Arabidopsis thaliana: one gene and its partner. The protein of the gene in region 1 purifies or fractionates together with the protein of each later gene. This does not show direct contact. Each region holds a gene or a part of one and is shown in the gene's direction. Other genes may lie near its edges.

Region 1 (4,340 bases):
TTATGGATACCTACCTACAGGTGATTGGTCTGTACGTGGGAGTAGCAACGGTGGGAGTATTCATCATATGGTACACACACAGTAGCTTCATGGGCATAGACTTGAGCCAAGACGGTCACAGCCTTGTGAGCTATTCACAGCTCGCACATTGGGGCCAATGCTCTTCATGGGAAGGCTTCAAAGTGTCTCCTTTCACAGCAGGCTCTCAGACTTTCTCGTTCGACTCAAACCCTTGCGACTATTTCCAGCAGGGGAAAATCAAGGCGTCCACACTCTCCCTCTCGGTGTTGGTGGCCATTGAAATGTTCAACTCCCTGAACGCACTCTCAGAAGACGGCAGCCTGGTAACGATGCCGCCGTGGGTGAACCCGTGGTTACTCCTGGCTATGGCTGTCTCATTCGGGCTCCACTTTGTGATACTGTACGTGCCATTCCTGGCTCAGGTATTTGGGATAGTGCCACTGAGCTTGAACGAGTGGCTGCTGGTACTGGCTGTTTCGCTTCCAGTGATTCTTATAGACGAAGTGCTCAAGTTTGTAGGAAGGTGTACGAGTGGCTACCGCTACTCACCTCGCACTCTTTCCACGAAGCAAAAGGAGGAGTAAGAAATAAATCAAAAGCATTATATTATTAGACTCTTAGTTTTAGCTGAAATTAGCGTTGTTACTTACCTCGGCGTTGGTTATTTAATTTTCTAAAACGATAATTTTTGGTTTGATAAAAATGTTCTAACTTGCTTCTCATTTGGTTCACGGACAAAGAGCCTGAAATAGATGAATGTTTCAACAAAGCCCTTCATTTTTATGCTTCCTAAGTTATGTGCTAGATAGATCTCTCTTTCTGCAATATTGACTGCTTCCAAATCAATATAATTCATGGATGAAATATTGATGAATGTTTCACCCAAGCCTTCATTGTTGGGTGATTTGATTTTGTGTACTCAGATCAGAGTAAAGATACATTCTCCTTCACGTGAGACAGAGTAATCTAGTTGTTTTCTGTTTAGTTCCCCTTCCTGCAATATTGACTGCTTCCAAAGTTCCAAGTCTATAGATTATAAAAAACGAACTCATAGCAGAATTCAACTGTAATTTATCAATTATCATTAATTGCTTAGTTGATTGAATCCTGATCTTACGAGTACCAATGAAGATAGGGTGAAATGTAGCTCTGTTTCTCGATTCAACATGAATCTTCCCAGAAGCTTTGGGATTACAGTTAAAAATGGTAAAAAACCAGGAGACAAGATATCGAGTAAATTGTTCATCCTCATTAGATTTTCTTAGCTTTAAGTTTGCAAAGATTTTCAACTACACCGCATTGGCTAACAACGACATCACAATAGAAAACAAAAGCAGTAGCTAACACTCCTAGATTTACTTTAGACTAATTCAAACCATTTAACACAGATCTCAGAAACAAGAAGAAATCCCCAAACTTGCATAAACCCTAATCCCCCAAATCGGATTAACCTCCGAAACCGTAGAGAGTACGACCTTGCCTCTTCAAAGCGTAGACAACATCCATGGCGGTCACCGTCTTCCTTCTAGCGTGCTCAGTGTAAGTAACGGCGTCACGGATGACATTCTCGAGGAAGATCTTGAGGACACCTCTGGTCTCTTCGTAGATGAGACCACTGATACGCTTGACACCACCTCTACGAGCAAGACGACGAATGGCAGGCTTGGTGATTCCTTGAATGTTATCCCTCAGAACCTTCCTGTGCCTCTTCGCTCCTCCCTTTCCCAATCCTTTTCCTCCCTTTCCTCTTCCCGACATCACTTCACAGTTTTACTTGATACCCAAAGATCTGTGACTGTGAAGAACAGAAGAAAAATTATTCAGTGAATGGTAACGAACAGAAACGCTAGATTTCCAAATCAATCAATTGAATTGACGATCGAACAATAAACCAGATGGAGAAGAAGAAGATACTTTTAAGATGATTTGGAGAGAGGATCAATTGAATTTGACGGATATGAAGTGGCTAACTAATGTCTTAATATATAAAACTGCGTTGATCCGTGTGATTTTTCATATCAACCGTTGATTACTGATCCAATGGTTATACATCGTTAACAATACTTGACGGATCGATGACGTGGATTGCTCCCAATTTAATTGAAAGATGTTGTTTTATTGAAAAACAAAACAAAAACAGCATTCGTCTTCCAATAATTTGCAAGTGTTGGGTCTTATTAGGCCTTAAAAGAGAAAATGAAACCTGGCCCAATAATAGTATCAATACTAACAGAGCTAGTATTGGGCCCTAAAAGTTTCCGTCTCCGTAAACCTGTTATTCTCGGAGAAACGTTGAGAGAGGGTTTTCCATTCTCTGTGGCCGTCACCGTCGCCGTGAAATAGCTCTCCTCTCTCTATCTCCGGTGAGTTCTTATTTATTCCTCTGCGAGATGTGCTTTTCTGTGTACACGATCTCTCACTTCTTCGGAAGCCTGAAATATTTTGTACGACTTTCATTAACCATTTACCATTTTGTTATCCAATCTCGATTTCTCTTTCTGATTGTTGTTGATGATCAGATTATATAACTGCAAGCTCAAAGGAATTGTTTGTTGTTAAAATGTTTCTTACGCGATTTGTCGGGAGGAGATTCTTGGCGGCTGCATCGGCGCGATCGGAGTCCACTACAGCAGCAGCAGCTGCCTCGACGATTCGGACGCCAACAAATCCACTCGAAGAGTTCTTTGAGTTCGACAGAAGCCAAGACGAAGATAAACCTGTTGTCTATGGTAGCTTCTCTCTGTTTTCTGCCACTCATCTGCTTAATACTAGTTTACTAGTGGGATTGTTCATAGAATGTACAGTGAAGAAGTAAAGTAATTCACTGTAGCTTAGGACTGTAGTCAAGCTTGCTAATCGTTCGTTTTTCTTCTTAACTTTGTTATCCTCCCATGGAGTTTTTGGAATTAGGATTGTTTAGTTTTGTTAATGGGGGAAAATTTGTAAACTTCTGGTGTTAGGTCGAGGTTGGAAAGCTTCAGAGCTGCGTCTCAAGTCATGGGATGATCTTCAGAAGCTGTGGTACGTTCTTCTCAAAGAGAAAAACATGTTGATGACTCAGCGTCAGATGCTTCAGGCTCAGAACATGCAGTTTCCTAACCCTGAACGCATTCCAAAGGTAATCGATACTAATTTGGCTTTGACTCTCTATCCAATTAAGTTGTTGACAAAATAATAGATACTACGAGAAGAAACATGAATCCTTTCTTCAAGGAATGGTTATGTTCTTTGTTACCGAGGGAGATTATGATTATTTTTTAATGAATGTCAACTTTGTTTGCCTCTCACAAATATAGGTGAGGAGATCAATGTGCCGCATTAAGCATGTGCTGACCGAGAGAGCGATTGAAGAACCAGATTCTAGAAGATCAGCCGAGATGAAGAGAATGGTAAATGGTATGTGATCCCATTGGCTCTTGTTTTGGCAACCTAGCAGTAAGCACGAGTCAATCCGCAGAGGTGTTGAGTTTTTCGGAGTAAGAAATAACGCATAGCTTTCAAGACTTTGGAACTGGTCCAATGATTGTGACTGTAGTAGTGTCGGCAGTAGAAAAACGTTTGGTTGGTATCTGTACGCACATTTCTGTAACTTATGGTTGATGTTTCTTTTTGAGACACATGTTGGTCAGTGTTGATTCAGAGCTTTGTCTTTCTCTTAAAACCAACATAAACGGTAATGGCAAGGCAACGACACTGATGAAGTAGATTTTGGCAGATGAAAGATTTGGTGGTTTAGTCGAGTCCTATATGGGCTATATGGAGGAGACTGAAGGAATCAGAACTCAGTGTTCGTTCTCAAACTCAACTGATTATTGTGACTAACGACACAGCAAAAATTAAAATAAAATCTGATTATTTGATTATAAAAGAAAAGAATCATATTGTCGAAACTGAATAACCAAAATGATTAAACCACCAAAACCATAGATTGCGCTAAATTATTTGCTTGCGTCTTGCGATAATTAAACTTAGCCACCCTTATTGGGCCCTAAAGCTAAATGGGGCCTGAAATATGTTAGAATCATGCGTCTCCTTAAAACCTTTTTTTTTTTGTTTTAATTGTCGGAAAATCAGTAGAGAGAGGCTTTCGATTAATTTTACTTTGTGGCCGCCGTGACCTTTTTCTTAGCGTCGCTCTCTGTCACCTTCAAGTTCACTATCTCCGGTGAGTGCTTTCTTCTTCGTGTCTTTTCCGCTTCTAGATTTGGTGTACCGACAACCACTGAGCTCAATTAATCGAGTCAAAACGGAGAGATAGTTGCTCTGTTGGGAATTCATCAATTTTGGTTAGCATTGGGTTATCGTGAATGTTTGTTTCT
Region 2 (3,979 bases), on another chromosome or scaffold:
AATATAATCCCAATGACAGATAAGAATAAATAATGAAACATTTTGACTAAAATTATTATCTGACCCAAATAAGACTATAAAAAAGAAGAAAAAATCCTTGAATAATATGGAAGATTTATTATTTACATATATATATATATATGTATATACGTATGTCTATATAAATGTACATCCAAGACCACCACAAATCATTCTCAATAAGTACTGAAATATTACAAATACAAAAGGTAAGTCAAAAATAATATAAAATATTTAGAATATGTTACTAGATTTTTGTTTTTGTTATAACAATAACTTTGAAATTCGCTTTTAATAGGTTTTGAGAAGCAGGTATAGAATCATCTTGAAAGAATAACAAATAACAACCAAAATGGTTGCATCTCATCGATTACTTACGTTGATGGTGTTTGCTCTCCTCACCATACCTATGATTTCTGGTAACACATTTATTTGTTATACAAATTATATATTTTTTTTAAAAAAATTGTTCTTAAAAAACTACAGTTTTCAATATTAAACTGACCATTTTTGCTTATAAATTTTTTGTTGATGAATTTTTTATTTATAAAATCGTATAGGACTAATTTCAGATAAATGTACGGAAGGATGTAAAAGCACAATAGGATGCAATACAAGATGCATGATGAGAGGCGGAGGGTATTGTGAAAGCGCTAAAATTCACGGGGCTGTTAAAATATTTTGTTGCTGCAACAATTATTCTAATTCTCCCATCTCCAGTCCGGTCATCAATTGATTGATCTCTTATTCTATATGTACTCTCGATCATAAGATATTATTAAAAACATATATTTATATAATGATAATTGATATAATCTCATCCTGATCCAACCCCCAATCTCTCTCATCAAAATGTTTATAAGAATTCAATACATGTACACAATAAAATCCACAAGAAAAACGACAGCGGTTCGACTTATAGTTAATGTCATTAGGACATCGATTTTGTCAAATCGATCATGTAAAGTTATGTATGAAACTGTAGAATATGAAATAGAAATCTTCGTATATTGGATTTAACTACAAAGGAAATTGCATGACGTCGTGACTAACCCTGGGAAACATGTCATCTTTTGGCTACGACGGCGCATCACACACACGTGGCATCATAATCATAACCTCCGTTGATGAGACATCAAAAGTCTCAATTAACTGCTATAGGAAAATTCATCTATGGTACTTGATCTAATCTAAGCTGCAAAAATAAGAGACCTCCGAAGAAAAAATGTTGAGAAATTATGTGAACCCAAAATCAATCTCCAAGCCTAATATAACAACATCATGTATTTACTCTTTTTATCTCAAGGTATATATTCTGATATTCCTACGTTTTCATGAAATAGATTAACTATATATATATACAAAGATTTTTGGAGATGTTTTCTTAATATGTAGAGAGGAAGTGCGAGTGGAGGGAGGGAAGAAGGAAGAGCTTCTTCGACGGCGGAGGAGTTCACAAGACAAGGTGTTGCTAGCCAAACAGTTGAGAAGGCTTTTGACGGAGCTGCGGTGGCGGTAAACGTCTCCGGTGATTCTGAGGCGGATGTGGAGAAGGTGAAAGAGGCGTTTTTAGATAAGAAAGACTATAATTATAAGAAGAGACCTGAGGATGATGATGATGGTTTGCCTATCAACACGGCTAAAGGAATATAACGTATGTGCATTTGTTAGATATCACTTGTAAAGTAGTAGTATGTAATAATATGCATCATGTATCATGTATGTAATATTATAGGCTTCATGTACTTTGTATAATAAATCGAGTAATGGATAGAAGAACGGTTGCCCTTTTTCTCTCTTTTTCTTGTCTACCAATATTTGTAAGTTTACCGATTTCTTTTAGTTATGTAATTTAGCTACTACTTTTGTATAAATATAATTTACTTTGATAATTTTCTCTTTTTAATAATGCATCATTACTCATTAGTAATAATATTGATCAACCCCAAGATTTAAAGCTATTGAACTTATAGAAGGTAGAAAAACCTTAAATAATACACCTACCTAGCAAATAGCTTTTACCAATTTAGAGGTTAGAACTAGTGATGAGAGCAGTGGAATTTGACTGTTCATCATACACTTTCTGAAATAAATTGTTTTTGCAAGATTAATAAATCTAAAGATTGATGTAAAAAAAATGAAACCAATCTAGTAATTTTTGAACAAATTATAAAAAGGTAAAGGAGCCAATAATTGGGCCCAGATAAAGCCCAAATAATTAAGCTAATCTACAAAACGCTGTCGTTTAACCATTGTTCCGCTAAAAGCTTAAAACCCTTAAACGCGAATCTCAAAGATTTTCCGAGCTCTGTTCGCCGTCTTGACTACACTCGTCGACGATCTCTTTCACCGGACTTCTCCCGTCTCTGTTTCCTCAAGGTACTCGAAAACCATCCATTTCTATCTCAAACACCTAATTGAAATCTCGCGTTATGCAGCTCCTCTTTTCTTCTGAATTGATCGATCTGATTTGGTTTCAATTCGTGATGATTCACTCTCTCATGATTCATGTTATCAATCGTCTTCGTTTATTGTATCTATTGATTTCTACGGTGAATTCTGTGTGATTGCTTGATTATGATTTTGTTAATGGTTACAGAGAGATTGAGTGATAAAGGAGACAAAAAAAAAAAAGAATGAGTGGTTTTAGAGCTTTCAAAGCACAAGTGCCTATTGAATGGAGCCAGAGCTTGTACATAACCTTAGTAAGAGGTCTCCCTGGAACAAGGAAGCTTCACAGACGAACACTTGAAGCTATGGGACTTCGTAGATGTCATCGTACTGTTTTGCATTCAAACAATTCATCCATTAGGGGAATGATTGATCAGGTTCTCTTCCTTTATCTTTTTATCTATTCTCATTTGTCATAAAATCCTAGATTTCAAAATTGTGATGGTTGGTTTTGCCTCTATGTAGGTTAAAAGGATGGTTGTTGTTGAAACAGAAGAAATGTACAATGCTCGTAAAGAAGCAGAAGCCAACCACAAAGCTTTGCGCCCGCCTCTCGTTGTCAGTCATTCGAGTCCTGCAACAGATTCATCCAACATGTCTTGAGAGTACTTTCATAAGATGGTAAGCTCTTCTACCGTCAGTTCGATAAGATCCGCTTGGATATTGTAGGCGGCTTATGTTTAAGTTCTCTCTAAAGGTGTCCAGGAAGTAAACTAGTCCTAGACGCTTGATAAGAAATGTTGGTATCAGTGTGTTTGGTGCCTCTTTATGTTTTTTGTATACACTGGATACTTGTGTATGTTTTGCTCTCATTCTGTCAATCTCAAATCTATCGGTTTTTTTTTTTTTTTGTGGCCAATGTTTCAAGATTGAGAATGTGAAAGTTGATTCTCAAAAAAGTTACCTTTCAATTTGATTAATGAAAGTAGTGAGAGAAAGATAGATGCTGAAATAATCATAACTTAATATATATGTTACAGATGAAGAACCAAAATGTATGATGACAATTGTAATGTATCAAAGAATTGAAATTTGAAATACAAAACCTATACTATGCAAACTACAAATTCTACAATGCATCAGTCATTCATCACTGAGGAACGTCTGTTGGTGTGACCCAAAACATCTGACAATTCCAAGATCTTGGCTGGTAAATTTTCATGATTTGCTTACTCTCCCATTCAAAAACGCTCAGATTCTGAGGCCCTGATCCTCCTACACTTGGATCATCACCATCAATGAAATAAACTGAGTTGTCTTTGAAAAATCCTCTCTCACCTGCTAAAACAGCTATACATCTACCTTGAGGGCTCAAGAACAAAGCTTTTCCTCTCAAGCTCATCACCTTTGTCCATTCGTTAGTCTCGCGATTGAATTCGTAAATCTCGAAAGAGGTTTCGAAATCACAATCGTCGTTAAGCTCCAGCTTCTTTAGGACCACCCACAGTTCGTCGTAATCCGACTCTGCCAAGTATTTCTTGCAAGAGTCGTACCGAAACGGCGAGGTGCT

Evidence for each region.
Region 2: the proteins of AT1G07830 (region 1) and AT5G55140 fractionate together in Arabidopsis thaliana (co-fractionation; one large-scale study listed by BioGRID). This does not show direct contact.

Annotation. Positions count from the first base shown.
Region 1 is NC_003070.9:2,419,968-2,424,307, forward strand, and holds AT1G07830 (ribosomal protein L29 family protein), read left to right. Parts: upstream 1-2,158; 5' UTR 2,159-2,384; intron 2,385-2,540; 5' UTR 2,541-2,581; coding exon 2,582-2,750; intron 2,751-2,981; coding exon 2,982-3,139; intron 3,140-3,317; coding exon 3,318-3,425; 3' UTR 3,426-3,836; downstream 3,837-4,340. Other genes in the region: ECA1 (ER-type Ca2+-ATPase 1), read left to right, coding at 21-605; AT1G07820 (Histone superfamily protein), read right to left, coding at 1,468-1,779.
Region 2 is NC_003076.8:22,378,716-22,382,694, forward strand, and holds AT5G55140 (ribosomal protein L30 family protein), read left to right. Parts: upstream 1-2,280; 5' UTR 2,281-2,397; intron 2,398-2,617; 5' UTR 2,618-2,654; coding exon 2,655-2,846; intron 2,847-2,934; coding exon 2,935-3,072; 3' UTR 3,073-3,479; downstream 3,480-3,979. Other genes in the region: AT5G55132 (Defensin-like (DEFL) family protein), read left to right, coding at 371-437, 579-754; AT5G55135 (uncharacterized protein), read left to right, coding at 1,244-1,324, 1,414-1,671; AT5G55150 (F-box SKIP23-like protein (DUF295)), read right to left, coding at 3,560-3,979.